Linked DNA regions of Schizosaccharomyces pombe. Changing the gene in region 1 together with any one later gene gives a genetic interaction. Each region holds a gene or a part of one and is shown in the gene's direction. Other genes may lie near its edges.

Region 1 (16,191 bases):
TTGGTGAGTTTCTGATAAAAGAAGATTTAGGGGAGCAACGCTTGGAAGAACGACCGTTACGGCCTAAAAGTGCCTGCTGATGCAGGGGAGTTATAGGGCTGTTAGGGAAGACTAAGTTCCTTTTCTTTGTGGGTGTTGAAAATGTAGGCGATATGGTTGAAGAATTACCTGCTATCTCCATTTTGATTAACTCGCTCAAAATATATATGTAAAAGAAAAATAATGCAAGAAGCGAATATCAAAGGACAGAAACGTATCCAAAACTTTGAATAAAACTTCTAATGAATTAGAAATAAAGTGGATTTCAATTTCTTTTTGTTGTAGAAAAGATGAAAGAGAAAAAGAAAAGCGAAGAAAGAAAAGACTTTTTAAAAATTCAATAGGTAAGCTATATAATAATGTAACGTTAGTAGCAAAAAGAATTCAACTTTTTTGAAAGCCTTTATTAATTTTTTAAGCTTTGTTGTTGCTGTTTTTTTTTTTAGAGAAAAGAAAGTGCGCTAACAAATAAAGGACTATTAGGTTTCGTAAACAAATCGTAGAAGGAGAAACGAACGTCTTCAAGAATTAATCGATTTTAAGCAAATGAATGACTTTATGATGACCGGCACCACAGCGCATTAATTAATATTTTTGAATAATTGGATAAAAGAATGAGTCGAGTGCTAATATAGCAAGCAATGCAATGCAATGAAATAATATGTGAAGGAGAACCTGCTCAAAGAAATAATCTATTAACTGTATAAGGAAGAGATACCAGTCTTTTCCTTAAGACAAACAATATAGGACCAGCCTAATATATCAAAGAAAAAGGATCCGAAGATACTAAAACTTTGTAACGTTGAAATTCAAAGTGTTTAGATGATTTGTTTACAATAAATTCAGGACCACAGCGTTTAGTATATAAATGCTCTGAATACCCTAACCCTTGGTTACTATGGCTACCACGTGTAAATAAACAAGAGTGAACAATATTTACAGCTTATGGTAATGCTGCGCGTACAGTTGAGGTAAATATAACAACAAACTCTTGATAAACAATGTATTTTCTACTTTTATACTAAATATATTTAAATTCTACTGCATGTTTGTTTTCATTTCTCATCAACCCCCCAGTTTAAATCTGCTAAAATTTGTAACGCATTTCAACAATCTATCCCGTATTCCAACCACCCATCTTTAGCAAAGCGAGTGTTTTGTGTTGTTGCTTTGCTACACGCTACCTTACTAAACAACTGGACACTTTCCAAACAATATGTTGCCTGTACCTATTTTTGTAAAATTTCTGTATTTAGCAATCTATTGAAAAGTGATTTTTTACTATTTGGTTATTTAATAGGTATCCTGAACCCTCACGAATCACCAAGCATTTTTCAATTCAAATTACATAAATATATTTACTCCCATGTTCCACTGTCAAGAAATTAAATTTTCGCGAGCGCGTTTTTAATAAGTAGCTCTTGGCGAAATGCTTGTATTTGGAAAATCTACTGATACTTACTACTCCTGAATATTATTTCAAGTACTATCTAGATACCAATTGTTTTATCCCACGCGTTTCTACTTTTCGAAAGCCACCGGACGCCAAAATATTTAACTACCTAGCTACTTAACGTCATTTTGAAGAGTATCATACAATCAAATAACGCCAAAGTAATGTTTCAAGTTGTGTTGTTTACATTTGCTTATGTATAAACAGTTTTTCTTAAAAAGGGCTGGCTGTTAAGACATCCAGATTTCCGCCGACCACCCACATTTGTCCTCTTTATGGTAAATATGGCTGGACATGCTAAGAAAAAGGACATGATGGCTGTCCAAGTTTCCAAATTTGGAATAATATAAAGTATCAAGGTTCGCTTTTCTAATTACTATAACCTAAGTAAGACACAACCTCCTTATTGATTGTAAACAATCGGGAAATCTTGAAACCCAAGTGATACCTAATCTGGAAAACTTAAGAATTTACTAATCCATATCCACTTAACTATCATAATAACATTGGATATTGGAGTCTAATAAATCCTTAAGCAGCTTCTTCTTAATTATTGTATTACCTTTTTGATTTCCTCATTCTTTGTTTCATTTTTTTTTGTTACTTTAGCAATTTTAGTTTAAATCTTTTATTTTCTCTGTCTTTCCTTTTAGTCATTTTTGGTTTGCTATCTTTTCACTTACTTTATTGTTAGGAACTATGAGTTCCTATTTACGTTCTTTTATATTTGGTCTTTTGACCATAAGTTTGGCACAATGCTCGCCAATCCTTAAGGATACCAAGGATACCAAATTTTCCACAGGCTCTAATATTAGCTTAAAAAAACGTGATACCAATGTTTTCGACTCTGTTGTTGATACTATCAACCCAGCCAGTTATTTCGGCACCGTTTCGCACCCAGTTACTCCTGCCGGCGTCAGTACTGACAGCTTGAGCTCCCCTATTGAAACTAACAAATTTTTTGATAATAATTTACTTGGTTCTCGTACTAATTTCATGTATGCTGATCCCTTCAGATATTGGTGGCAGTCTTCAGACACGATGGGTGGCATTTGTATTGCTCATACCGATGACAATCAACGTGTAATGGATACGGACGATACAATCCCTTCCTATTATTATGAACCCATCGGTATTTGTTCGCTCGGATTTGGTGCTTCTGGTATTACCTCTAATACTGACCCAATTGTCGACGAGATTGATCAGATGTCTGCTCGCTTTACTTTCTCTTGGGACTCTTCGTCTATGCAACTTACTTTGACTGAGGGTATGGCCGTTACTACTGCTGTCTACACTAATGCTATTCCTCAAATTTTTTCATCCACTCTTTATATCAATGACTTTGTCGAAGTGCCGGGTACTTCTGCTGTTCAAAAGTATCGTGTCACGATGTCTGATAACCACGTTTGGCTTATTTACATTTATGGGGATAGCCTTACGTTGACTGAATCCACATCTCAAATGCTTGTTGGAAGCAACACTTTCAATGGTTACATTCAAATCGCGAAAATTCCTCTTGGAGATGGCACCGCTGAAGCTCTTTATGACACTTATGCGGGTGTCTATATTACCGGTATTAGTATTTCCGGATATGTTGAGGATGCTGTTGGTTATTACTCGTTTGATTTTACGACTGCTGGGGATACTTCAGTAGAGCCTCTATTTTTCTTATTGCCTCATCAAGTGGATACAGCTGTCAGTGGTACCAAAGTTACATCCATTGTTTTGGCTTCTCTAGTAAGTGGTGATATGAATGCCGCAGCTGGAAACTCTATAACATTCGCCGAAGCTATTCCTCAGGACATTGGTTTTCTTCCATGGTCGCCGACAGGTGGTCAGATTGGTTATTCGGAAGAAGCATTAGAGATCATCGCTGAGGTTGCTGGTACTGAATTGGGCGAAGACTTCTCTGCCAACTCTAATTTGAATTCAATGTACTATTCTGGCAAAGTTTTGGCTAAGTATGCAATGCTGTGTGTTACAATTAATGATATTCTTGGTGATGAGACCAGCAGCGAACAATGTATTCAAAAACTAGAGGCTGCTTTTGCCCGTTTTGTTGACAATCAGCAAATTTACCCTCTGACTTATGATAACACTTGGAAAGGAGTTGTCAGTGTAGCTGGTCTATCTGGTGATTCCTTGGCTGATTTTGGTAACAGCTACTATAATGATCACCATTTCCATTATGGTTATTTTGTTTTCACTGCTGCTGTAATTGGTCATATTGATCCTGACTGGATTAACACTGGGAACAATAAGGAATGGGTTAACTTTCTAGTTCGTGATGTTGCCAATCCATCATCAAATGATCCTTACTTTCCAAAGCACCGAATGATTGATATTTATCATGGTCATGGTTGGGCATCTGGTTTGTTTGAGTCTAATGATGGCAAGGATGAAGAATCAACGTCCGAAGATTATAACTTCTTTTTCGGTATGAAACTTTGGGGTCAAGTAATTGGCGATTCTGATATGGAGGATCGCGCAAACATTATTTTGGGCATTGAAAGAAATGCTTTGAATAAGTACATGCTGTATGCTGATGGAAACGTCCAGCCCACTTCTATGCAACCTAATTATGTTGCCGGTATTACATTCATGAACAAAATTACTCACACTACCTATTTTGGTACTAATATTGAGTACATCCAAGGAATTCATATGTTGCCTATCACTCCAATTTCAGCTTTTATCCGTGGTCCTAGCTTTGTACTAGCTGAATGGAATGCCTTACTTGCTAGTGTCATTGACTATGTAGATAGCGGTTGGAGAAGTCTTTTATATGCTAATCTAGCTATTGCTGAACCTGAAGAAAGTTATGAATATTTCTCCAGTTCTGATTTTAATACCGATTACTTAGATGACGGGGCCTCTCGTGCCTGGTATTTGGCTTATGCCGCTGGCTTATGGGCTAATGATGCCGTTTATTATCCTGTTAGCTCTTCTTCTACCACCACGACCTCTACGAGTACCGGAAGTGTTACGACAACCTCTACTACTGCAACTGCCAGTTGTACACTACCTATATCCTATACTTCGACTCCTACTACTACAAGCATCTCTGGTACTTGTAATGGTGCTACGTTTGATGCAAGTTTGTATGTATGCGACGGAACTGTACTCTGCCCTATTGTTAATGGTGTATCATATCAAAACTGCAACGGAGCTTGCTATAACCCTTCGCAATATGGCTGCGACAATGGAGCTTTGGGCCCTGTTCAATCTTCATCGACCACTTCCTCCATTACGCCTACTCCCACAACTACTTCCTCAATAACACCCACACCTACTACAACTTCAACAACTACTACCGCACAGTCAACTGGCATGCAACTATGTGGCTCTAACTACTACGACGCATCCTCTTATTATTGTGACAATGATCAGTTATGTCCTATAATAGACGGAGTGGATTACTTGAGTTGTAATGGTGCATGCTATAATCCTTCCCAATATGTTTGTTCTGATGGTTCTTTGTCTCCAAACACTGTTACAACAACAAAAGCTACTACAACTTTCACACCTACACCTACCACAACTACTACACCTACACCTACTACTACATCTGCTACATCCACTAATGTGATAGCCCAATGTGGATCAGCTTGGTATGATTCACAAAGTTATATTTGTTATGGCAATATACTGTGTCCCATTATAAATGGGTCTCCATTGTTAGCTTGTGGTAATGCGTGCTATGACTCCTCTATATACGGTTGCTCCAATGGTGCACTTGTTGCTGCTTAAGCATGACCAAAGTCCGGAATTGTATTGCGAGGTGCTTTTTTGGATTTCTTCAGATGTACTATACTTATTGCTTGTATGTTTTCAAACTATTTAAAAAACTACATTTTGTTCATAATACACGTCTGGAACGTGAACTACTCTCAACTTGAAACCCTTTTTGGATATCGTCTAGGCCGGCTTAGAGATCAATTTATTAAAATTATTCTTGCTGAGTTTTTCTTTTTTGCATCTTTTTGAATTAGTTGGTTATTATTTAACCACTTATTTTATTAATTGTTCACACTGGATGTGAACCTTTAGACTTATAGAATAAAATTTATTTTAAAATACAACTTGTGCAGATGTTTTCAGTTTACACAAACTTGCCTGTCGTTATTGTTTAGTTGAAATTAGTTCGTAAAAATTCATTGATACGTAAAAGTAATAACAAAATCAACAAAGATGAAACGATGGTATTATGATTAATAAAAAAAAAGGCTTCACCCATTAGAATTTTAACAAGATGTGTTGATATTGCTACTATGTGTGTATCTATTAATCAACATTCTATATATCTTTTTTTAAACAATACGAAAAGCACTTTCTATCATCTTTATGCACGAACTCAACGATGCAAAACAAAGTTTTCTGACTAAAAGATCAAAAATTGTTGCTGCTTTTGCTTCTTCATTATCAATACCGAAACAAAGTTACAACAATTCCTTCTAATTAACTGAATTTTATGTAAACTCGAACGCAGAGTCTTAAGGACAAAAATACATCACTACATTTTTTTACACATATAACATAATAGTAACAAACAGCTTCCACAAAGCTACAGTACTTATCATCATCAATTAAATTAAGTTTTTTAATACAGAACCTATAGAAGCATAATATACGGAACTTTTCATAAAAAAAAAGAAATTTGAGATCACTCAACTAAATGATAACAATACTAACCAACACCTAAACCCACAGCCATTTGAACAAAAAGACGTAAAAACTCAATAAATTTAGACGGCAATACCAATGACACCACAAGCGTTACGTGCACCAGCGTTACCAGTCTTCAAAGACTCTTCACTAGTACCCTTACCAAGATCATCCTCACCGGCATGAATGACAATGGTACGGCCAATGATGCTGTTGGCACCAAACAATGAGATAACAGAATCAGAGAAAGTAGTCTTGATGTTGCCCTGAGCATCGCTTTCCAAGTTACCAAGATCACCAACGTGACGAACAGCGGCGGTACGGTCACCGTGAGTCTTACCCTCTGGGTTAAAGTGAGGACCAGCAGAGGTACAACCGTTGGTATTATCACCGAATTGGTGAATATGGAAACCACGCTTGGCATTAGCGTCATTGCCAACGAGATCCACAATCACAGAAACTTGAGAGTTTTGATCGACTTGTTCAAAAGTAACGACACCACTGACCTTAGAGTCACCACGAAGAACTGCTACAGCTCTAACCATTTTGTATGACGATAATTTACTTTAAAAAAATACAACAAGAGAAGGGGTGTTTTGAGTAATTAAGTGTTTTGAAGGAAAATCAATAAGATTTTAACCACACTTCAAAGTTGGAGATTTCGAAAATTTTGTTTGGAATTGGAAGAGGATAGGGCGGCGTGTCATCGCTTATATAGTAAATAGCTCCACGCGGAATATACATGAAATTTTAACGATATCAACTCAAATCAATTTTTCGATATGACCAATGTTTTTTTATATTCTAAAAACGAAGAAATTGTCTTTATACTTATCGATTTAACAAATTTGCTTTACAAAGCATTGTCTAGTCCGTGCCTTCGAGCCTCCAAAATAGGCCAATAAGCTACGCCGAGCATCACCTCAGCTTGGCGTTGGCTTACTCCACCAGTATTCGTAATCATATTACGTGCTCCTTCGCGGAATTGAAATTCCGCTAAAGATGATAACGCGCCACTCGAAGAATAAATAACGATATCTAAAGTTGCGGTAATAGCAATCGTCGTTCTCGTTTTCGTAGACGTTAAAACATTTAGCGTAAGGTAAGAATGACCACGTTGAAGTAAGGTCGCTAATGGGGGTAAAGATCTTCAAAGAAAGGGAAACTTGAGTAGACAAACATTGCATAGAGATTCAAATGCATAGACTAGCTAAAATATCAAACCCCCATTTGGTTCAGTAAATCCCACTAGAGTTCGCAGAATAAAAGTCCTACATGTATATAGATTAGCGTTTTGAGTCTAGGTGTGAAGAGCCTAAGGCCGGTCGGTAGACTTGCAAAGCCCGTTCGTTCACGGAAGTTGTTAGGAGCAATCGCTTGTAACAGTCAAATTGTTATGAAGCTTCAATCGACGTGAGGAGGATAATAAAATTCGCTCTAGAAAGAAATATTCGTGAACTCATAATTTTCCCATAATGAACAAACCTCTCAGTATGCATTTTTGAGAAAGAATCGCAAGTACAACTGCTGATAATATCATTGAGCTTTTAAAAAATAAAATAACATAACCATAGTAATGCTTTGTACTAGGAAGCGAGTGACACTATGGTTATTTTGGAGTTAAAAAAAATCCTGATGATCTGTTTTGCAAATACGTTAATCGCTTCTATCCATCGATCTACCTACATATTATTTTGGTAGAAAACAGAAAAAGTTCTCTGAGGGGGACGCTGTTTATATAAGAAATTTGCCAAGATGTATAAAGTATTATGCCGAAAACAGTAATTACCTTGAGCTACTTATTTTATATGACTTATTTTTGCTATTCGTGAAGTAGCAATATGAGACTATTTTGCTAGTGCGCGAAAGAAATGGCTCATTACAAAAAATAGCGTTTCGCATAATACTAAAGGCGGTATATTCCTAAATACAATTCTCTTAATCATTCTACCGTAATTGGGTACATTACGATATGTCAGCAATACTACACTACGCTATGATACACTACGTTGCGTATCACTATATGTCATATGTTGGAATACTAGCTAAGATCCGTTTATTGATAATCACGGGTAACTATCCGTCTATATACATAGATACCCGTTGATAACAACTATTTAGAAATATTATAAATAGCGTTACAACTGAACCTCGTTCCTCAGTTCAGTTATGAGCTATATTAGTGATAGGTAACATTATAGCCCAGTTAATACAATACCTATACTCAGTTGCTACTTATACAACCTGTGTATTGTAATATAATAGACCACAAGGAAAACTCACCGCAGTTCTTCGTATCCTTAAATCAGATACCAAACTGCGTAGCTTACACGATACACTTAATAACGCATATCCTCAAAATACTTTAACTCTTGGCAATGGGATTGATGAGTAGAATGTGTGCGATTTATGCTCATGATTTGTACAACTTGACTTTGGAGAGGTAGTCAAGAATTTTCTGTTAGTGTATGGAAAAACCTTGATGTGATTCACTGCTGTACAATCAAGCATAGCTACAGAGCCTTAAATATGTTGTTATTGAAAGTAAACAAATGAAATACTATACACCCAGATTAATAATTTATCGATTTTTTTTGAAGCAAAGTATTTCTTTCTGATTCTATAAATTGTCGACTTGGGGGACAATTGTGAAACTGTAAGGCAAGATGAACTTTGCAAATATGGAATTAAATTCAAAGTAATTGCGTTCAAATTAAAAAAAAAGTACTATATTAATGAACAGTTTGATCAGCCATTGTAAACAATTCAATTACAACCGTTAGCGATACTCTATATTGAAGGATGTTTTCCCGAAAAGATGAACAAACAATTTTGTTTGTTGAGCTGTGCATTTCAACTAGAAGCATCTTTAATTTGAATTAAAAACAACTAGATCAAATTGATTCAGTAATAACTGGACACCATGCTAATAAATGTTTTTGCTTTTACGATATGACTATAATTTATTCATGAGAAATACGAAGTGTGTAATAATCCAAATTCTCTATGGAATATACAAAGCACACTTTAAAATTAGTATCTTTGTATTTCTTAACCGAAGATACCCAGTTGCTCATTTTTTAGTCTTTTGTTTACAAGCATAATTCTTGCACTACGTGAAAAGTGAAAAGTAAGGCTACTATATATAGTAACGGAAAAACAAAAACTGAAAATATAACACTAACTGTTCTTGAGGTTGCAAAATATTTTTAGTTAACTGCAGAAGTACTCTCACTTTCCATGATTTCGTATCTTTCAGAAATCTTAGTTATGCTTAATGTAAAGTAACAATGCTTGATTTTGTTACTTGAAGGGTGTTAAATAAATCACGAACTTGCATTATTCATACATTAGAAAAAACAACCAAAATACTACAAAAAGTAGTCTTTTTGAGCTAGCCATTCTAAGAATAAGAATTCGCTTGATTTAAATCTCCCAATTGCCTCTACTCAAAGTTGTATAAGTATTGTTTAGCATGTCTCTTGAAGAGAATGTAAAGGAAGCGAAAAACGCTTTTAACATTTTACAGACATTATCAGTGGAAGACCGTGATGATGCATTGGATAAAATAGTTGAAGAACTGCGCATAAAAAAGTCAGAGGTTCTAGCTGCAAATGCTGAAGATATGAAAGCAGCTAAGCTCTTGGCTGAATCAGGAAAACTAAGTTCATCGATGGTTAAAAGATTGGATCTGTCTTCATCTGATAAATACGATTCCATGGTACAGGGTGTTTTAGATGTTAAAAGTTTGCCTGATCCCCTTGGTCGTGTTACTTATGCTCGTAGTCTTGACGATGGTTTGGACCTTTATAAAGTCTCTTGCCCTGTAGGTTTATTGCTAGTCATTTTTGAAGCTAGACCTGAAGTAATCATTAATATTACTTCCCTGGCTATCAAATCTGGTAATGCTGTTGTACTTAAAGGAGGCACGGAATCAGCAAAGTCTTTCGCTGCACTTTCTAATGTTGTTCGCTCTGCCTTGGGCAAAAGTAAGGTTCCACAGGCTGCTGTGCAGCTTGTTCAGAGTCGCGAGGAGGTATCACAATTATTAAAATTGGATGAGTACATAGATTTGGTTATTCCCCGCGGCAGCACTAATCTTGTACGCCATATAAAAGATAACACAAAAATTCCTGTTTTAGGTCATGCTGCAGGACTATGCTCCATGTACGTCCATGAGGATGCTGATATGGAATTGGCTAGTAAACTTGTTCTGGATGGAAAAACTGATTATCCAGCAGCATGTAATGCAATTGAAACTTTGTTAATTAACGAAGCTGTTTTATCTTCTCATCTTCCTAAAATTGCTGAAACTTTAACTGAAGCAAAAGTTACATTAAAATGTGATCCCGCTTCTCTTAAGGTTTTAAAGGATATGCCAAAAGTTAGTGCTCTAGTTGAACCATCTGTCGATCAAGATTACAACACTGAATTCTCTGATTTGATTCTTGCTATTAAGACTGTACCTTCCTTACAGTCCGCAATGCAGCATATAAATACACATGGTTCTAAACACACGGATTGCATTATCACTTCTAGTGAAGCAGCTGCTAACAGATTCATGGCTGGAATTGATGCTTCTGGTGTGTATTGGAATGCTTCAACCAGATTTGCCGATGGTTTTCGTTATGGTTACGGTACCGAAGTTGGCATCAGCACCAACAAAATTCATGCTCGAGGACCAATGGGTCTTGATGGGTTAACTATTTACAAGTACCAACTTAGAGGAAATGGTCAAGTTGCAAGTAGTTATGGAGTTGGACCTGGCAAACGCGCATTTAAACATACCCCTATTAATATAGACAATATTTCTCAGGTTTCGAAAAAATAAACACAAAAAAGATTTGAAAATTATGTGAAATTGTCAACGTTTTGGCTAGCTGCATTTTGGATACAAATCGGTTAGGCTTTTTTTGTTTACTTGTTTGTCTATAATATTTAAATGGGAGTTTCAATAATGTGAAGTTATTAAATGAAGAGTAAACACCAAATTAAATAGATAACTATTCCTGTAGAGTTCGATCCACCACCTTTAGTTTTTATTACACAAATATTTTTATGGTGAAGAACGAATTGATGTCTCCGTCCGTCTTTTTTGACTATTCATTTCAATTCAGATTCTAAAATCTTCGTAAGCTAAGATTCTTGGCTTCAGTTAGTAGCGTCGTAATATTGAACAGGGAGGGTTAGGAAATGCGCGGAGCTTATCGCAAGCGATCGTTGAAGTTATATAACAAACTGCAGAAGTACTTGCTTTTCCAGTATCGCAGTTTAACATATTTTTATCGGATTATACCTTAGCTGGCAGTAGTCCTATAATTAAAAAAGCATAATAGGACTTGTCATTTACCATATCCGATTTATCACTGTCTCATTTCTGTTTTGCATGTCTTGTTAATTCATGTTTTAAGCGATTGAATTTCAATCTTTTAACAATTTCTTTTTGTTAATTAATTCGTTGACCTTGTAGTTGATTCTAATTAGTGTAAAAATTCCATTTATTGCAACATTTCTTTCAATATGGATAAGAATGATTACTTACACTTTGAACGGAACCCTTCATTATTTCCGAAATCAACTTTAGACAAAGTCCAAAAGACAAAGAAATATATTGAACATTATTACAAGGTGGCAGTTGATCATGCTGTAGAGCGCAACCAAAGGTACGAGTAGCATTACTATTCAGGGTTCTAGCATTGTTTCACATTCCTCAATTAGTATTCCCATCTTATACGTTGATCGGATAAGTATCAAAGACGATGCTTTTATTAATTCTTTCTCCGTTCTCAACTTCGCGTGTTGCAGTAAATGCATAATCTCGAATGTTTATAAAATCTTAGACAGCTTACTCATCTTGTTTCGAAAATGTTAATTAATAATGCTAGCTTCCGTTTAATTTACTTTTAGGTATAAATACTAATTCTCTTTAGACGTATCAATTTGGAGCAACGATTAGCAACCGAAAGGGGTTCTGAGGAGAGAAAGAATAGGCAGTTAAGAGCATCTGGTGAAAAAGAGTCTCAATTTCTTCGATTTCGTCGTACACGGCTTTCTTTAGAAGATTTTTCTACCATCAAAGTTATTGGGAAAGGTGCATTTGGCGAGGTACGTTTGCATAATTGTTTATGTTTTTGGTATCTAATTAAATAGGTTCGGTTGGTTCAGAAACTCGATACGGGTAAAATCTATGCCATGAAATCTTTGCTTAAAACTGAAATGTTCAAACGTGACCAGCTGGCTCATGTCAAAGCAGAACGCGACTTATTAGTTGAATCTGACTCCCCATGGGTGGTGTCATTGTATTATGCTTTTCAAGATTCACTGTATCTTTACTTGATTATGGAGTTTTTACCAGGCGGTGATTTGATGACCATGCTAATAAATTATGATACTTTTTCAGAAGACGTTACTCGCTTCTACATGGCTGAGTGCGTTTTGGCTATAGCTGATGTTCATCGAATGGGTTATATTCATCGGGATATAAAACCGGATAACATACTGATTGACCGGGATGGCCATATAAAACTTTCTGATTTCGGACTTTCCACTGGTTTTTACAAGCAAGATCAGAGTGCCTCTTACATGAAACCTCGCACAGGAAATACTGTCAAACGTGGTCAAATGGTAGATGCTATCTGGCTTACAATGTCTTCCAAGGACAAAATGGCTACTTGGAAAAAGAACCGTAGGGTGATGGCCTATAGCACTGTGGGTACTCCTGATTATATCGCTCCAGAAATTTTCTTGCAACAAGGGTATGGTCAAGATTGTGATTGGTGGAGTTTAGGCGCTATCATGTTCGAGTGCTTAATTGGATGGCCTCCCTTTTGCAGTGAAAACTCTCATGAAACTTATCGAAAAATCATCAATTGGCGTGAGACTCTGACTTTCCCAAATGATATACATTTAAGCATAGAAGCTCGTGATTTGATGGACCGACTTATGACAGATTCAGAACACAGATTAGGTCGTGGCGGTGCTATTGAAATAATGCAACATCCTTTCTTTACTGGAATCGATTGGGATCATATACGAGAAACTGCAGCTCCATTTATTCCGAATTTGAAATCTATTACCGATACACATTATTTCCCTGTTGATGAGCTTGAACAAGTTCCTGAACAACCTGTCACACAACAACCTGCTTCTGTTGACCCTCAGACGTTGGAACAAACCAATCTGGCATTCCTTGGGTACACTTACAAAAAATTCAATTATTTAACGATGAAAGGAGCATTGTAAGACTTCTGCAAGAAACTCCATAGCTACTTTGTTCATTGTCCTTTGAGCATCTAACTATTGTTATCGAATTTTTTTTATCGTTAATTCATGTTTACCTTCTTTTACATTATTTTAGCATAACTAATAATATTACCAATTACTTTTTTTTAATGTTGTCCCTACTGATAAAATCTTACATGCACTTCTGTAAATATTAAATTCGTTGCATAAGAATTCCAAATTAATGCATAGATTTTATTAGGGAAAAGATAAAAAAGAGTGAGTAAAAAACATGTATTAATAAGTACAACAGGATGTTAACGCCAAGAAAACCAACCAAAATAGTAAACAATAATTATGAAATGCGGATCATGACCCATAACTAATAGACAATTTCTAATTGAACAGTGGGAACCCCAGAATTTTAACATTTTACCAGTAAACTGACTATCGTCTAAAGAAAGTTTCATATACTAGAATTGGATTAATGAATTAAATGCCTAATCTCGGCTTTTTAAATATTGTTCAATTTCATCGACAGATGGTGCATTGGCTTGTAAAAACTCACCGCTCTCTTGCTCAAACCGAGAGCGGACAAAGGCATCGTTTTCCATTTCCACAAATATGTCGGTGTCCGTAGGACGTAAAGTCCTTCGTAACATTTGGGCAACAATATCAATTGTTAAAGCACAAACCATTACAAAAAGCATAGTAAGCCACCATGAAGGATTTTTGCCAAAATGATGGAGAAACTGTGATCTAGCAAGATATAAATTCTTGTCCGGATAATGCTCGCTTATAAAGATATTAAATAAAAACCAAGCCAAGGACGTTAAAACAAGTACTATTATAGAAATGATGTTTATGTATTGCATCTCTATAAAGACCAATTTGAAATTCATGATAAAAATAGCAGCAGTAAAAATGAGTTGACCATAAGCGAAGATATTGTTGTCATTAAGTTCCTTCATTCCAAATAAACTATACGTAACATAGAAAACTAAGAAAGCTTGAATGAAGGCTATTGAACACCACCCAAAATACACTCGCCAATTGAATGCTTCATTGTTGATTCCCTTTTGATAAAGCTCCGGGACAGCGATTACGGTACTAGCACTTAAGTCTTTTTCAAAAATACCCAGCCCAATAACACATAACGAAGAAAATAGTGTATTAAAGCAAGTAAGTCCCCAGCTTTCGTAAAGGCTCTGCCCTGTGTAGCCAACAAAAGGTTGCATGATAGCTTGCATCAAAAAGAAAAACTGTTCTTTATAGAAGGTACCGAGAATATACTTTGATAATCTAACATAGCTCCATCGGCCATGACAGAATAATAACTTAATTAGGAATTTAAATCGACCTATCGAAAAATCCGATGATCTAGCAGCTTGAAGACCCTCACGACCAGCAATTCCAATACCAACATGGGCTTCTTGAATCATAGCAATGTCATTAGCACCATCGCCAATAGCTAAAGTGACAGCCTTTTCGAGAGTATTACGCACTTTTTGAACCATTAACGCCTTTTGCATGGGACTTGACCGACAACAAATAACAGAGTCCGCTTCAACGGCAGTATTTATGAATAATAAAAACAGTTCAGGATCATTCTCTATATCGGCAAGAGTACTGCCATCTATCACAATAACCAGATGAGCTAAGGAGTTACTGTGAATAGCATTCATGCAAGATATAAGCTGATGAATCATCAAAGAAGCTGGATCATTAGTAGGAGGTCGATCTAATGACAGCCTTTGACCACCACTGACAGTTTCATCACTTCCTTCGACTCCATCCAGAGAGCCCATGACAACAACAGTTGAATATTCTTTTATTACGCCACAAGAATGACCAATATTGATTGCTGTTTCCTTTTTATCACCAGTTAGCATCCAGAATTTGATGCCCGCTCGGAAAAGTGAATTGATTGATTCTGGAACACCAACTTGCAATTTATCTTCAATTGCCGTAGCTCCCGCAAATTCTAAATCTTTTTCAATAAGGTCTGCAGCTTCATCTAAAAGTTGTTGCCTGTTGGATAGACTGTTTAACGCCGCATCATTCACCAACTTCCAAGACTGATACTCGCTTTCGTCAATGAAACGATGGGCATACATAAGGGTTCGTAGACCATCAGTTGCAAATGCATGAACATGCTCGAAAGTGTTTTCAAAAAGTTTGGCATCATTGTGGTTTAAGGATTCATATATTGATCCCTCAGCTTCTTCTTGTTTTGATAGATACTTTTTATCTTCCATCAGACGTTCACCGCCTGCTAATGAATGACGTCCAACAGCTGGTCGACGCCGGGTTTCAAGAATACTGGTGCTAGCACGGGGACGAACTACACCCATTTTCTCACGCCTTTCATCGAGCCAAGAAGTGACGTTGTTAATATAATCATTTCTGCGCCGAGACAAACTAGGTCTTGAAGCCGTTAAACTTGGCCTCGAAGTGCTCTGGCTATTCCGAATAATCGCCTTGTCTATTTCAATGCTTTTACGAGCCTGTTCAGCTTTGGTTACTGATTTGTCCTTCCGTTTGGCGAGGTTGGAAAGACGAAGTCGCTTTATGATCGCTGAATCTGCTCCTTTACAAAACAAACATATCCTTCCGTTAGGCATGCGTACGATAACAGACATACATTTCCGTTTGCTCGTAAATTCGATAATGTTCAGTATTCGGTATGTTTTGGCAATCGGGTGAGAGTGTGGGTCCAATGGATAATGCAATCGGATTGTCAAGCTGTCAATGTCTCTATCAATAACAATGTAACCTAGCTGTTGAGCTGCATGCACAAGAGCCAACTCATC
Region 2 (17,352 bases), on another chromosome or scaffold:
AATGTCGAGCCCAAGGCGCAGAATTGAGACGGACGTTATGAAGCTGCTGATGAGTGATTACGAGGTAACTCTTGTCAATGATAATATGCAAGAATTTTACGTTAGGTTCCATGGACCGTCTGAAACCCCTTACTCAGGTGGAATATGGAAAGTTCATGTTGAACTGCCAAGTGAGTATCCTTGGAAATCTCCAAGTATTGGATTTGTAAATCGTATATTTCATCCCAATATCGATGAGCTTAGTGGAAGTGTTTGCTTGGACGTGATAAATCAAACTTGGTCTCCAATGTTTGATATGATTAATATTTTTGAGGTTTTTCTTCCACAGCTACTCCGTTATCCTAATGCGTCGGACCCTCTAAATGGAGAGGCAGCAGCTCTATTATTGCGAGAGCCGAATACCTACTATGCCAAGGTTCGAGATTATATCGCTCGGTATGCTAATAAAGAAGACGCTGATATAACTTTGAACGACTCTTCAGATGATGACACCATGTCTTCTATTGACACTGAATCTGGCGATGAAATTGCTGGTCCAATGGACTCTGATTTTTAAATTTCGTTACGTTGCTTTGTTTGATATACATTGATTCTTTTTTGAATTCTCTTTATGGATACTGATTGTGGCATTCAATAAACCGATGGATAGCTAAATCTGTTACACTTTTTTTTCTATTGATGCATTGAATGATTCTTTTTGCATGCTGTCGCTTGCAAAACCCGTTTGAATTTGCTTTCAATCAGTAGTCGTGACAACGATATTTAATAGGTTTATTTTCTTGAAGCTTCAAGTTACTGCAGCATAATTTACGACTATAACTCCATGATGCATAGTTAATGAGAACTAATATTTAAATAAAATAGAAAAAAAATATTAAATAAATACATTGATCATATCTACCTATAAATTAAGCTGAACAATCAGCGCGTTAATTATTTCCCTATCATACGATGGATCATTTTCTTTCTGTCGTATGCATTCAATCGAATGAGATACGTGAGCAGCTAACTGACAGTCAACTTTCGAAACTTCTTGACTACGAAATAAAGAAAGCTCATGGTAAATCGAGTTTAAAGAAATGTGTAAATCATCATCGTAAAAAAACAACATTTTCTTAGCGTAAGTCAACGTTAAAGCATGCAATTGAGAACAGTCTTGCATACGTAACTTTTGTGTTCTATATAACTCAGTAAGAGATTCCCGTAATTTACAATATGACGGCTTTATAACACATTCGTAGGCATAATATTGTAAAGATGATAAGAACCATAAAGTCACCCACAATTGAGTCCATGGTTGAGAAATACCTTTGGCAGTATACTCCTTTCTTTCGTAAAAAAGGGATTTGATTTTAGTTATACTTAAGTGTAAAGAACCTAGTAGTATCCATAAATCGGAATACACATTTAAAGCATTTTTATCCATAAACAAATTGAACGGCCATTTTAAACACAATAACAGTTGCATATTGAGTCCCTCTACATCGATTTTACGATTCTCAGAGCGAATCATTTCATCTTCTTCATCAAAGATACTTACAAGTTTTAGAAAAGATACACATTCTCCATATTCAGTAGCGAGATCAAGTAAAGAAATAGTTTTCCTTAAAACAACGGGTAAAATATCATCAATTACTACCCCTTGAACGTCATTTGAACTGCAATATTCACCACGAACGTCTCTGAACATTTCAGATAATGTTGGAAGAAACTCAACATTTTCAAGTAACATCACCATCTCTAGCATTTTTACCAAATCGAAAATCTGATGAAACGAAGCTAATTGAAATATTATTTTTTCTGATACCAGAGTGAACATTTCATCTGCTAATTTTGTCACTGAAGATTTCGTTAAAGGCAAAGGCATTTCATATACCAGTCTGTAGAAACATCTAAGAATTTCACAGAAAGCGTCTGTGAAACATTTTTTTGCATTGAGCATACACGTTCGTATTGAAACTAAGCAATTAACGATGTCTTGGGTCAAAAAAGGGACATTATTGCTACAAGATACAAAATCTTTAGTATCACCGCATAAAAACGAACATTTGAAGCTGTCATCGCCGGAATCATTTACCAAATACTGCACTAATTCGTCAAGCCAAGTCTTCTGAAAAGCACATTCACACTCTAAAACCAGCTTTTTAAAATTCAAATGAGTAGAGCCCATATACATATTATGCAGCTTTTGAAACGTAGAAGCTACACTCAAGCATTGAGAAATATTACCTTGAAGTACTAGCAGACTAGATAAAGTTTCTTTCCAATCTGCTAAATGCGCTTCTAATTGCGCCAAGGATACGAATTTTCCGGAACCTACAAAATAAGGATCGCTGGATATAATCATCCGCTCTAAATTAGCTAGACTTTCATCATAAAGAAATAATTTTTTCGAAAGCAGAAGTCTAAGAGCTTTAAGAAGAAACTGGTTTTGCTGAATCAAATCTTCATCAAAAATTTCAATATATCGTTCTATCCTTTTCCTTTTACTTGCCAAAGATACTATGTCATTAATTAATTCTCGTTCACCAGGGTGTAATGGTTGAACAGATGGATGCAGTAGTATTTGACCATTTTTCTCAATAAACAGGCCAGAAGTATTCCCTGCGAGCAACAAAATAATCTCATGCAACATATAATGTATTTATTGTTACAGAGTTTGCATGAAAATATTCAACATATAGCCAATTTAAGTAAACTACTCCAAAGGAGGCTTTCGTAGTAAATGAGATAAATAGCTAAAACTTATTCGTGTTACTTTGAAGGTAACGACTAGGGAATGTCTTGCGTTGTTACAATGAACAATAATCAATGTAGCATTGCATATAATTCAATTAATATATATATATATATATATATATATATATTATTTTGTAATAACCTAGTAGGTACTGTTTATCTTAAACAAACAAAGTCTCAGACGAGCGAAGGTTTAACGACATTAATTTTGGGCAACAGGTAAACACAACACTTTAAAATTGATTAGAAGGGGGAGGTGGTCCACATGGCATGATCATTTTTTCTAATAGGTTTTTGCGAACTTGGACTCTCGGTTCGCCGAGCGCCGTTGCCATATATGCGAGCAACGGTGGATGCCCCACTACAGAAGACAAAGTATCCCGGTGCTGATTTACCATCCATTCACTAGTTTATATGGTGAGCGAAAATTCATTTGTCAAATAAACCGATTAGTACTTACTATTTGGTGGTAAACGCATTACCGACACCAACATAACGCGCTTGTAACTGTTCTAGTTTTGCTTGAGAGCGCAACCTGTCTGCCTACAATCGTTAATAAATGAAAGAAGCATAGAATAGAGATAATTCAAGAATTTTTTTCTTACCATAGTATATATTGGAATATGTGGTATAATGTTCAGACTGGGTTTTTTTAACACATATTGTTAATTGAAACGAATAAGGTATAATACTGTAATTTGCAATTCTAAATTGCGATTTCTAGCGCACCAAAGCAACCACAGAAATAAACGTTTCAAAATAAACATTGCTATCCTTTGACCAAAAACCTGTAGTTGCAGTTTTTTGATAATAGGGAGCACTACACTTGAAGATGTCTTCTCTTGCATCTCAGGGTAATAATGCTTCAACTCCTGCATATCGTTATGGGTTTCAAACTTCAGAAGTTGGGGACAGGCCAACTGTAAGTATGCCTTCACAACCTGAGTCGAGTGCTATGCTCGAGGATGATGGAATGGTGAAAAGGAAACCTTTTGCTGCTATAGGAGAAGCCATACCAAAGGTAATTGATACAACCGGAGAATCAGTACGTGAAGCCTTTGAAGAGTTTTTATTGTCATTTTCTGATGACCGCGTTGCTGGAGGTGATGCTCTCCCTTCTGCATCACAAGAGAAATATTATGTTCAACAGATTCATGGATTGGCAATGTATGAGATTCATACCGTTTACGTTGATTATAAGCATTTAACCTCGTACAATGATGTGTTAGCTCTTGCGATAGTTGAGCAATATTATCGATTTTCTCCTTTCTTACTTCGAGCTTTACAAAAGTTGATTGAAAAGTTTGAACCAGAATATTATAGAAGTTCTCTTTCTCGTGAAAATGCTTCACTTTCACCGAACTTTAAAGCCAGTGACAAAACATTTGCTCTTGCATTTTACAATTTACCCTTTCGATCCACAATTCGGGACTTACGAACAGATCGTATCGGTAGACTCACGACTATTACAGGTACAGTTACTCGTACTTCTGAAGTACGCCCTGAATTAGCACAAGGTACTTTTATCTGTGAGGAATGCCACACTGTAGTTTCAAATGTTGAGCAAGCATTTCGCTATACTGAACCAACTCAATGCCCTAATGAACTTTGTGCTAATAAAAGAAGTTGGCGGCTCAATATTTCACAGTCTTCTTTTCAGGACTGGCAAAAGGTGCGCATTCAAGAAAATAGCAACGAGATTCCTACGGGTTCTATGCCACGAACTTTGGACGTAATTTTGCGCGGAGATATTGTTGAAAGGGCTAAGGCTGGTGACAAATGCGCATTTACGGGAATTCTTATTGCCGTTCCAGATGTCTCACAGCTAGGAATTCCTGGTGTAAAGCCAGAAGCTTATCGAGATTCTCGCAATTTTGGTGGTAGAGATGCAGATGGTGTGACAGGACTGAAGTCTTTAGGTGTACGTGATCTTACATATAAACTATCTTTTTTAGCTTGCATGGTTCAACCAGATGATGCAAATGATAAAAGCGGTGCGGATGTCAGAGGGGATGGTTCTCAAGGGATCGAAGAGCAAGATGAATTTTTGCAATCGCTTTCTCAAGAAGAAATTGATGATTTACGTGCGATGGTGCATTCAGATCATATTTATTCTCGTTTGACAAACTCACTGGCTCCCTCTGTTTATGGTCATGAAATAATTAAGAAGGGGATTCTTTTACAGTTAATGGGTGGTGTTCACAAGTTAACTCCTGAAGGTATAAATCTTCGTGGCGACCTGAACATTTGTATTGTCGGCGACCCCAGTACTTCGAAATCACAATTTCTTAAATACGTTTGCAATTTTCTTCCTCGTGCAATCTACACTTCTGGAAAGGCATCATCTGCGGCCGGTCTCACAGCTGCAGTTGTTAAGGACGAAGAAACTGGGGATTTTACTATAGAAGCAGGCGCTTTAATGTTGGCTGACAATGGAATATGTGCTATAGATGAATTCGATAAAATGGATCTGTCAGACCAAGTTGCTATTCATGAAGCAATGGAACAACAAACGATATCTATAGCAAAAGCTGGAATTCAAGCTACATTAAACGCACGGACATCTATCCTTGCTGCTGCAAATCCAATAGGTGGCCGCTATAACCGAAAAACAACTTTGCGGAATAACATCAATATGTCTGCTCCTATCATGTCACGGTTTGATTTATTCTTCGTTGTACTAGATGAGTGCAATGAATCAGTTGATAGACATTTAGCTAAGCATATTGTTGACATTCATCGTTTACGGGATGATGCCATGCAACCTGAATTTAGTACTGAGCAACTTCAACGATATATCAGATATGCAAGGACTTTCAAACCAAAGTTAAATACAGAATCTTGTGCCGAAATTGTTAAAAAGTACAAGCAATTGCGGATGGATGACGCGCAAGGTGCTGGTAAAAATTCATATCGTATTACCGTGCGACAACTGGAGTCAATGATTCGTCTATCAGAAGCCATTGCAAGAGCAAACTGTGTAGATGATATTACTCCTGCATTTGTCAACGAAGCATACTCTTTATTACGTCAATCAATTATCCATGTGGAAAGAGATGATATTGAGGTTGAAGAAGATGATGCAGAGGCCCAAGAACTTGAGAATGATAATACTAATACAACAAATGGCAATGATAATGTTTCTTCGGAAGAAGCTTTGCAGAAACCAAAAGTAAAAATTACTTACGACAAATATGTTTCGATTATGAACGGAATATTACAGGTTTTACGCCAGCGCTCTACTGAAGGTGTAGATGGAGTACCAGCGGGAGACCTAGTTCAGTCATATCTCGAGCTTAGGGAAGACCAATTCCATACCGAGGAAGACATCATCTATGAGGTTGGTCTTGTGCGTAAGGTATTAACCAGGCTTGTTCACGAATCGATCATCATGGAAATTCAAAATTTAACTGACAGCGCCGTGAGGCTTCCTTTTGAAGAACGCGTATTTTCAATACACCCTAACTGTGACATTGATGCTCTACTGAGCAATGGCGATGTTCCGAACTAAGGTTATAAAAGATTCGTAACGATCTCTTATAAGTTTTATCAGTGAGGCGTATTTTTGAAACAGACCTGACATTAATTGTTGAAGCACTACTTTAATTCACGAAATTGGTGTATTTTTTTTTTCCTCACTGCATACCGTAGAAACCCTGATTTGTTATTTTAATCTTTACACTCTTTTTTTGTACTTTTATTCACTAAATTTGATAATACTATTGGATCCTACCGAAAAATATATACTCATTTTCCTGATCTAGACATTTATCAGATTAATCTATGTTTATTTCAAACATATAACCCAGGTAAATTAGTATAGTGATACGTTAAGCAATGTTAATATGTTGAAGCATATCTGCTGAAATCCGTTCAACACCAAAGGAAGGGTGAGACTGTTCAGGACTAAACCTCTACGCTATTTACAATAGTAAACACCTCAAGTTACTTTTTATAAAGACTCTTGATTAGTAGCTACAGAAGGGCTATGGAAGTGCCTCGCGCATCTCCTAACCAAGAGCCGTTATGTTCGATTTCACCGTCCTCCTTGGTGATCAATGAAATTATAACTGTCGTGACGGCAATTAGAAAAACCACGAGATGGAGGAATTCTGGTGTTGCATCCATTTTAGGAGTCTCAACACTTAAAGACGAATTTCTGGCTGATGGTTTAGAAAGCCGATGGAAAACAAATGGCGAAAAAAGCAGTAGTATCCGATATCCATTGGTTATGGAGTTTTCACAGTTAAAAGAAGATTTGACGAACCGTGCTAGCTTAAATGGATACGATAGTTTAAAGCTTCTCTCTCCGTTTTTGAGGACAATCAAGTCCCCACGAATGACAGGTTATATAACTAGCTTATGTTTATCAGCTATACTCAAATTCTTTTCTTTTCGAATCATTTCTGAAGAATCACCCAATTTAGCACTGTCAATGCGTAATCTATCGTTTGCTATTACTCAATGCCGTTTTGAGAGCTTCGATGCTTCACAGGATGAGGCTGTATTGTTGCGAGTTTCTAGGCTAATGGAAGAATTGTTAAGAGGTCCTGGAAAAGCTGTTTTGAGTGATGATTCTATTTGCGAAATTGTTGAAACAGGGCTCAGTATGTGTTGCCAGTCTAGGCTTTCCCAAGTTTTACGCTATAGTGCTGAATTATCGATGACATCTATCCTTGAAAAGATATTTGAACGCTTGAAGTACATTGATGTGAAAACGGATAGTGAAGATTTTTGGGACGCATCCGAAGAACACTCTATCAAAGGAGAGGAGTTCCATTACAAAAAAATCACCGAAGGCGATGAGATTTCAAATGAAATCGATCCCTTCGGTATTGGTTCTATTCGCGAAGTTTTTCGTGTACTAGTTTCCTTTATTGACTTTGGCAAGCAAAAGTTTTCTGATAATATTAAAGCCATGGCATTGAGATTTATAAACACAGCCTTAGAGGTCTCTGGTTCACATATTAGCGATTTTCCTTCGCTTCGAGTACTCATCACTGATACTTTATGCAAATCACTTCTACAGCTCATTCGTAGTGATCATACAGCTTTGCTGACAAATTCCTTGCTTGTAATGACTACTTTACTTCAAGCAATGCCCGGCTCTCTTAAATTGCAGCAAGAGTTATTTATCTCTTATTTAATATCTTGTCTCCATATACCTTCAACCACACCTCGTGAACGTAATGTTGAAACATCTTTGCACAAGGTAGTTTCTTCGTTAGACCTGAGTGAGGAGATTAGTCCAGATCGTGCCACACCAACTTCGTTTACTGAGAGAAAAAGATTTGCTTTCGACACGAGAAATAGACCTCCTGAAGTTCGTGAGCTTATCGTTGAATGTCTCGGATCTTTATCCCGCATCCCTTATTTTTTGATAGACTTGTATGTCAATTATGATTGTGACCCTCAAATGTCAGACCTTGCCATTGATCTGCTGAAAGTTTTGACAAGAAATTGCCTTGTTGACTCTGCTCGCTATTCAACTGCTAATGTACCACCACTTTGCCTCGACGCTCTTTTAAATTTCATTTACTATTTTCATGAGCATTTACAACCTTGTTATAATGACCCCAATAATACTTTCAAAGATGATGTCGCTAAGACATTAATCGAATCAAAAAAGAGAAAAGCAATTATTATTGAAGGTGCCGAGTTATTTAATGAATCCCCTTCAGATGGTATTGCCTTTTTAACTCAGCATTCTATCATCAAGCAATCCGACAATCCTACTTGTATTGTTGAATTCTTCCATTCTACTAATCGTCTTAGCAAGCGAGTTTTAGGAGAGTTTCTGACCAAAGGTTCCAATTCTCATATTTTAAATGCTTTTATAAGTGCATTCGATTTTAAAGGAAAGAGAATTGATGAAGCGTTACGACTTTTACTTCAGTCGTTTCGTTTACCTGGAGAATCTCAATTGATAGAAAGAGTTTTAGAAACATTTTCTCATTATTACATGAGTGCGAATCCTGATTCCATGTCCTCAAAAGATGCCGCGTTTGTCCTTTCCTACTCAATAATTATGCTAAATACCGACCAGCATAACCCAAACATCAAATCTCAACGTCGAATGACTTTAGATGATTTTTGCCGTAACGTACGCGGTGTAAATGATGGGCAGGATTTTGATCGAAATTTTTTGTCTGAAATTTACAAAGCAATAAAAGAAAATGAAATAATTGTTGCCGAAGAGCATGACACTGAGCTTTCATTTTTATATATTTGGTCAAAGTTACAGCAGAGCGTGAAAATAACTGAGCCATTCAAGCGTTCGAGTTCTAACGTGCATGATAAAATTGTTTTTCTTGAAGTTTGGAAATCGATAATGGCCGCTTTAATATACGTGTTTTCTACTGCGACAGAAGATACTGTATTCTATAGGGTTGTCAATGGAATTCAGCAAGCTACGGAAGTGGCTGCAGCATATGAATTGAACGAACCGGTTGATTATGCTATTGAGCGCTTTTGTCAATTTACTGCGCTCGATCCTTCTTCTGTGCCAGGTACTCAATTAAATACTGCTATTAAAGTGGAAGACCGTATTATTACAGTTAGTGAATTAAGTGTACGTTTTGGAAGGGATTTTCGTGCTCAATTGGCTCTTCTGGTTCTCTTTTGGATAAGTAGTAAGTTTGGTAATATCATAGACGCAAGCTGGCCCTTGTTGGTTCAGCTCACCATTTGTCTAGCCCGAAATAACCTAATTGATAATTCGTTTTTACCTGGTTTCAAGCTGTTTGGGTATCAATGGTTTCCATTTCCTGAACCTCCGTTGAATTCTGGGAAACCCGCGTTAAGCAAAGAAGGAGGTTTATTGTCAGCATTATCTTCATATTTATCAAGTTATGCAAATGATGAACCTCCTTGTCCAACAGATGAAGAAATTCAACATACTTTATGTACTATTGATTGCATCTCTTCTGCTAAAATTGACAATTTCTTAACTAAATTGGTCGATCTCAAGCAACCCGGATTAAACAAACTTCTGGACTCTCTTCTTAGTCTATCAAATCCGTCGACTAGCCTTCTGACTGATGAAAACACAGTGGATGATAACAAAGTTTCGTCTGTAGAAGCACTCAGTAACATCCAGTCTGCAATAGTAGCTGATCTGCTGACATCGTTATTTTTGGGAACTAGAGAATCACTCAACAAATTGGAAAGAAGAACCCAAATTTTGTCATATCTTCTATTTCAAATTGAACAATCTGGGGATGAGAAAGTTATCAACCAACTCTCTCTATATATCTTCGAGATGTTCATGGATGACGACTTGAAGTTAAGCGAGAACTCAGAAGACTGGGGTTTATTCAGTAAGCTGTGCAATCTTTTGAACGATAAAAATATTGTTGTCAGAAATCAGAGCTTATCACTTTTTCATCAGTTGGTAAACAAGTACCCCTTTCTACTTGAAAGTTGGATAGGACTCCAGCTTGTCCAATCCGCTGTTAATACAAATACAGCAGATATTGATGATTTATATAGGCTGCTTAGCAAAATCCCTACTAATTTACTTGATCTTCCAATGTTTCAAGTATATTTAGGTTGCGTTGATACGCTAATTCAGACTATTGTGAAACAAATCGCGCAGATTTTGTCAAAGCAAAAAAAGGGAGCTTCAAAAGGGCTTCCGTTTGATAAGTCTATACTTGATAACCATAGTGCAGAATTGAACGATGCATTTAATTTATTTTTAAAAGCAGCAGTTGAGTACAAGGTTGACTCCAATGAAAGTTCTGAACATTTTCAAGATACAAGATGGAAAATTATTTACGATCATGTTTGTAAGCTTTGCCTCTCGCGAAGTCGTTCTTTAAGAGCAGCATCTTTGTCATGTTTGCAGCGAATAGTCGTGGAACAGTTAGATCAGCCTCACGAAGTTAGTTATACTATGGCTCTCTTCCACCTGGTGCTTCTTCCAACTATGGAAAACATGATCACTGTTTTAACCGAGAAACCAGAGCATAAAATATTCGGTCTAGCGCAAGCCCAAATGTTTAATATAATTTGCAAAACTGTGCTGATTGATATGAATGTGTTGTCAGCCCAAAAGGAGATGCTGCATACATTATGGCTAAAGTTAATGGACGTGGCCATAAAATTAAGTTCAATCCATGGTTCAGAGTCTATGGCTGAGGTAATGGAATCTATCAAGAATGTTTTTATGATTTTACACGGTGCTGGAGCACTCGCAGGACCCACTATTGAGGTCGATCCAGAAATTCCTGATCATCTGATAAAAACTTGGAATACTACATGGAATAACCTTTTCATATACTATCCAGAATTATCAAATGACTTAAATATCAACAACGAAGCCGAAATGAAGAAAGAAAACCTAAAAAATCCCTCACAAACGACTACTGTTTAGTTTTATCCTCTTCAATTTTTCTCATTCTTTATGGATTTAAAGGGACTATCATTTTTCCATATATGCTCATTGAAGCCTAGACTATCAAAAAGTATAGGGCGATTAGAAAGCCTGACAACTAAGTGCATACAGCAATTCTGTTACTGCTACCAAAATTTTTTAGTTTGATACAGTATCTTATACTCACCTAAGTGAGATATTCAAGGTTACGCAGCGAAATATATCTAAAACTAAACGTCACAAATCGAAAATGCATCGATTCTTTCTCTCTTTATTATATTAAGATATATAATTTTTTACAAGATACAAAAATCTAATTGGAAATGTAATCGAAATTAAACTGATTGTAAACATTCAATAATTTTCTCTAAATATTGTGATGCTGCCTCCGCATTTTCTATCATGAGTTAAGAACTATCTAACGGCCAAAATATTTGGATATGTATTATAAATTATAAGCTTTAAAACTTTAAACACACTATCTTTTATACCGAGGTCTGACAGTTTTTTGTTAATAAAAACAGTCACAATGTGCTATTAAAGCACCAACAAAACATTTAGTTTCGTTGTGCTGGTGATATCGCACAAGTTAAGTGAAAAGGGATATTTTGCTTAACTTGCTACGATATTGCTAGTTAGATATCTTTTTGAATGGTATGTGCAAATTTTTTTTTTTTTAAATATGTTTTGAGTTGATGATGATCATTTCTGTTCCTAGTAGGGCATTCGATGCGGACACTTTTGTATTTTAGGAATTCTTCGTTGCTGAACTAACTCAATAATTTTGAAAGCCTAATTCGATTACTATTAATTACTAACTTCTTAGGTATGTTTATTGAGTCTGTGTTAAGATTGCTAAGATGATTATACTTTACCCCTTTCTGTTGGTGATAATCAATGATCCTCAGAAAACATGCATCACCGAATGAACATAGCACGTCTCAGCCATTAATTTCGTAATTATTAATGTTTTTATATTAACTAATTTAGATTAATTGATTTTAGCTGTTTTTTACCGAAGCATTTACTAAAGCCATTTACATGTATGATGATACTTAATTTTCAGTTCTGCTTCTGAGAAAAGCTTGAAGACAACCTGATACCAAGAAACTCTCTATTATCTGATTGTGTTAATAGGCTTACTGCATTTGCTTGTGTTTTGAAATAGATAAATCAAATATATATGTTCGTGTATTAATTTGGAGTTTGTCTTAGTATTGATTGTTTCTTTGTTTATAGTATATATTGCAAACAATTAGTCAAGGATTTAGGCATTTCGATGTGATTTTTGTAAGCTGATTATATGTACAATTAGTGTTTTTGCCGCTCCTAATTAGTGATAACTAGTTTGAATACTCGTTAATTTTTATGACCAAAAGTCACATTAGCACCACTATTAGCTTTATATCTACCAGGTGAAGCGATTTTGCGTTTCGTATAAATATAATTTGAATATAGCAATCAATGAATAAATTCGAAGTACAGAAGAGGTTTACTGATAAGGGTAGTTAAATAGCAGAAGGTCGTTATGGATAGTGATTTACAACAAATGAAATAGAAATCGAAGGGCTGTATTTTGTAGCTCTGATTTATCAACATACTTTGGCTTAATTCCCTAGAGGTGGGCATATAGACAGTCTTTTAATTCTGTAATTTATTTGTTTTATATCTTATAAGCAATGTGCTTTCTCAATTAAGTTTCATCTTATGGGGTTAAAATTGAACTTCATATTTTTCACTTGCCCAAGGTCTATTGTATGCACGACAACAGCCTACATCGGGCTTCTTTAGAAAACAATCAAAAGGATTAGAAATGGGAGATGTTATTCCACTGAAAGTTAATTTTGATCTAATTAATGTTGATGACGAGCCGTTTGAGCTTGAATTGCTACGTGATCCATATTCTCTGAAAAGTTGGTTACGATATATAAAGACCCATGAAGGATCTACTTTGGAAAAGCGTGTGCTTTTATTTGAAAGAGCTTGTTCAGAACTCCCGGGAAGCTATAAAATATGGAAAAGCTATTTGGAACTACGTGTAGCGCATGTTGAACATTTGAACCCATATTTTCATGCCGAAGCTTTTGCTTCTGTAAACGATTGTTTTGAGCGCTCTTTGATTTTATTGCATAAAATGCCTGTTATTTGGAAACTATATTTACAATTTTTGATGAAACAACCAAATGTCACTAAGATTCGTTGTACATTTAACTCTGCACTTCGCGCCTTACCGGTAACTCAGCACGATGATATTTGGGACATGTTTACGAAATATGCTGAAGATATTGGAGGATTATTTTGCATCCATGTCTACCGCAGATATATACAAGTAGAACCAAGAGCAATTGAAAACTACATTGAGATACTTTGTAAATTAGGGCTGTGGAATGAAGCTGCTCGACAATATGAGGATATTTTAAATCGGCCCGTGTTTTTATCAGCAAAAAGGAAGAGCAATTATCAGATATGGCTCGAGTTTTCCGAGTTAGTTGTTCAGCATCCTGACCATACGCAAAACATAGACGTAGAAAAGGTTTTTAGAGCTGGCATTAAAAGGTTTTCTGATCAAGCAGGGAAACTATGGACTTATTTGGCACAATATTATATACGCATTGGTGACTACGAGAAGGTATGTTTAACTGGTTTGTTTATTGACCCCTTATTGCAAAAACTAACTTATCGTACAGGCAAGAAGCACATTCTATGAAGGGATGAATAACATAATGACTGTAAGAAATTTTACAATTATATTCGATGCTTTTGTTGAATTCGAAGAGCAATGGCTATCTGCACGAGTTGAAGCAAGCAGCGGAAATGCAAATGACGAATTAAGTATCGATTTTCATATGGCCTGGCTCGAGAAAATACTTGACAAACGTCCGCTTTATATCAATGATGTATTATTAAGGCAAAATATAAATAACGTTGACGAATGGCTTCGCCGAGTCAAGTTTTTAGAAGACGACAGCGAAAAAGTTGTTCAAGTTTACACAGACGCTATAAAAAATGTAAATCCAAAGCTGGCGCATGGCTCCCTCGGCAAATTGTTTTCAGAGTTTGCTCGTTTTTATGAAAATTTTGATGATTTAGAACAATCAAGGATAATTTTTGAAAAGGCTACTCATGTACCATATAAAACAGTCAATGAGTTAGCACAAGTTTGGATTGACTGGGCCGAGATGGAACTTCGACATCAAAATTTTGACGCTGCGAGAAAATTAATAGGAGATGCCGTTCATGCTCCTAGAAAAAGTCATATCAGCTTTTTTGATGAATCACTCAGTCCACAAGTACGGCTACACAAGTCATCTAAGATATGGATGTATTATCTTGATCTTGAGGAAAGCGTTGGTACGATTGAAACTACACGCAAATTGTACGACCGCGTCTTTGAACTAAAAATTGCTACTCCCCAGGTGGTTGTCAATTATGCAAATCTCTTAGAGGAGAATGCTTATTTTGAAGATTCATTTAAAATTTATGAGAGAGGTGTTGCGTTATTTAGTTATCCCGTGGCTTTTGAACTTTGGAATTTATATTTAACAAAATTTGTTAAACGATATCAAGGAACGCATATGGAAAGGACCAGGGATTTATTTGAACAAGCATTAGAAGGATGTCCGCCCGAATTTTCGAAAAGTATTTATCTTCTGTATGCCGATTTCGAAGAAAAGTTTGGCAAAGCAAAAAGATCCATTTCTATTTTAGAAAAAGCGGCCGACAAGGTTAAAACAGCAGACCGTCTTGCTATTTACAATGTGTTACTCGTTAAAGTGGCATTAAATTATGGTGTACTGGCGACAAGGACAGTTTATGAGAAGGCTATTGAATCCCTGAGTGACTCAGAAGTCAAAGATATGTGCTTAAGGTTTGCTGAAATGGAGACGAAACTTGGTGAAATCGATCGTGCTCGTTTAATATATATTCATGGAAGTCAATACTGTGATCCAAGAGTTGAAACGGATTATTGGAAAGCATGGCAAGAATTTGAAATAAGGTACGGAAATCCAGAAGAAACAGTTAAAGAAATGCTTCGTATTAAACGGTCTGTACAAACTAAGTTTAGCACTGATTCCCTTCATATAGCGAAGAGAGCAGCTAAAATTGAAAGTGCAGCAGCACCAATGGATCCAATGGAACAGCTTGAAATGGAAAAATCTGAAGGACCTAAGGCACTTGCGGGTTTTGTTCTTTCGAAAAGCAATCCCCAAGAAACTTCAAAAATTACTGGTGAGGAAAACTAACGAAACAAGTGTGGACTATTCGTAACGTTTTTAGTTAAAGAACACTTTTAATGAAGAAAAGCTAGTGTCATATTGTTAAAAAAAAAAGTACGAATACAGTCAGAGTATTTTTGCTAATAAACGGTCCAACATCAGAGTAATTGAAAACACATTAGTTAATTTTTATTTTCGAGATGAATTTTTTAACAAATCTTTGTAAATGGGGTCGTTTCTGAGCAATTTTTCGGCATTTTGTGTGATTATATCTTTTTTCGAAGGACCGTTTAACAATTCTTTGAAATTATCAGTAGACTTAGACTGTGACTCGAAGTTTTTAAGGGCATCATCGATGGATTCGTATTCATAAGCTTTTGCTTGCAATTTTAAATCCCACATGTTGCATTTTCGTAAATAACTAAAAAACGTTTCTAAAGTAACTGGATTGACACTGTACAGTTGTATAAGTCGAGAGTGCGTAATACGTTCAAAATTCTCCTGAGAAGATTTGTGAATAAAAGGTGATCGGAGTAAAGTCCAGCTTTCTACTTTGTTGGGTAATGGACGTGGACCCTTGATTGGAATTTTCATGTAATACGCTGTTCGACAAATGAAGTCGGTAAACGTATCAAGTTTTGGAGTTTCAAAGCTTTTAATTTTTAGAGAAGCACAAAGTACGTCGTTTTCAGAAGGATTGAATTTAACAGGGTTCAAATATACAGCTGCAACGTTGGAAGGAAGCTGTTGAAAAAATGGATTCTCAAAAAGTTGATCCTTTTCGCTGTTCCCTTTGCTAATAAATTGGGGTTAGAATGTACAAAATTATAGCTTAAATTAGAGGAAAGGATTGAATACATACGGTGATTCTTTGCCAATAGCTGTCTGGAAACAACGTTTCGGTTGCACGCGAGGTAATGTACCAAACATATACCGTTTCATGATTAATATTTTAGCCGGTTACTTAAAATACTTGTTAAGAAAACCACAAGAACAAAATTCCAACAATTAAACACTGTAAAGGTGTTTTTTTTTAACAAAATTTTTTGGTTGGAGTGGGGAGTAATGGTCGAGCTACACTTGTCATCCACCATCATATTCAGTTTAACACAATTATCGTAGGACTAAGGGGTTATTAATCAATGTTTTAATTGAACATAAACAAGCGGAGCGAAATCATTTTAAATGTCGTTCGCGCGTGAATACCTTGAAAAACACGTAGATGGTAACATTTATTTTAAAAAAGCAATATCATTCTGTAATTTATACTATGATGGAACGATCTAACTATAAATTTTTTATTTGCATTTGAAGGTCAAAGTTTAGAATTCAAAGGTGGGTGTGATTGTACTGTACTAAAAATATTATTGATGCACCATAGTGAAGAAAACCAAAAAAATTCGATTAAACATGAATATTTGTGATTATAAGGCTTTCAGCACAATTTAAAATTGACCAGTATGATGAGAGTTCTCAGTCAGCAATGAGATGTAATTTTTTAAAATTATGAGGAGACAATTATTTTACAATAACAAATTCCGGAAGTTAACAAAAGTGTGAACTGAACAATTGTGCTTTTGAGCTAGGAATTAAAGGTTTGGGACTGGCATCCTACTTGCAATTATGGAAGAATCTACTGATTTGTCATTCAAATTACTTTATACTACAAGAATACATAGGGATTTTGGAATTAAATGCTTACCTCGTAACACAATAATCGTTCTCATTTAAATTGGCTTTAACAATGAAAAATATTCAATGTTTTACAGTTTCAAGGTTGTATGTTAAACTGTTACAGCAGACAGCTATATAAATATATTAACTTGCGACCCTTGTTTACCAATCCTGCATTCAAAACTGACTTGCGATCACTGATATATATATATATATATTTAAGTATTGCAAACGAGTATCACTTTTCAAGCAGATAGGTTGGTGTCAACAACTTCTTGCTGCATGTCAAAGTCAAAGTCGCACATATGATTATTAAATTGACACTACCGAACATCTTGATAAATA

Evidence for each region.
Region 2: of eng1 (region 1) and gea1, extra expression of one rescues a mutant of the other (dosage rescue), as found in Schizosaccharomyces pombe (one study listed by BioGRID).

What each region holds. Positions count from the first base shown.
Region 1 is NC_003424.3:996,762-1,012,952, forward strand, and holds eng1 (cell septum surface endo-1,3-beta-glucanase Eng1), read left to right. Parts: upstream 1-1,870; 5' UTR 1,871-2,191; coding exon 2,192-5,242; 3' UTR 5,243-5,600; downstream 5,601-16,191. Other genes in the region: ubiquitin ligase Slp1, read right to left, coding at 1-181; superoxide dismutase Sod1, read right to left, coding at 6,238-6,702; gamma-glutamyl phosphate reductase Pro1, read left to right, coding at 9,633-10,988; serine/threonine protein kinase Orb6, read left to right, coding at 11,678-11,820, 12,088-12,262, 12,308-13,399; dnf1 (P-type ATPase), read right to left, coding at 13,879-16,191. UniProt on the Schizosaccharomyces pombe protein: Cleaves internal linkages in 1,3-beta-glucan. Has a role in cell separation where it is required for the degradation of the primary septum after completion of cytokinesis.
Region 2 is NC_003423.3:3,869,216-3,886,567, reverse strand, and holds gea1 (guanyl-nucleotide exchange factor), read left to right. Parts: upstream 1-6,647; 5' UTR 6,648-6,727; coding exon 6,728-11,116; 3' UTR 11,117-11,443; downstream 11,444-17,352. Other genes in the region: ubiquitin conjugating enzyme Ubc8, read left to right, coding at 2-556; gamma tubulin complex GCP4 subunit Gfh1, read right to left, coding at 902-2,635; sap10 (splicing factor 3B), read right to left, coding at 2,973-3,144, 3,200-3,282, 3,345-3,347; MCM complex subunit Mcm6, read left to right, coding at 3,572-6,250; protein Cwf3, read left to right, coding at 12,930-13,745, 13,804-15,360; rsm10 (mitochondrial 37S ribosomal protein uS10m), read right to left, coding at 15,523-16,129, 16,196-16,275.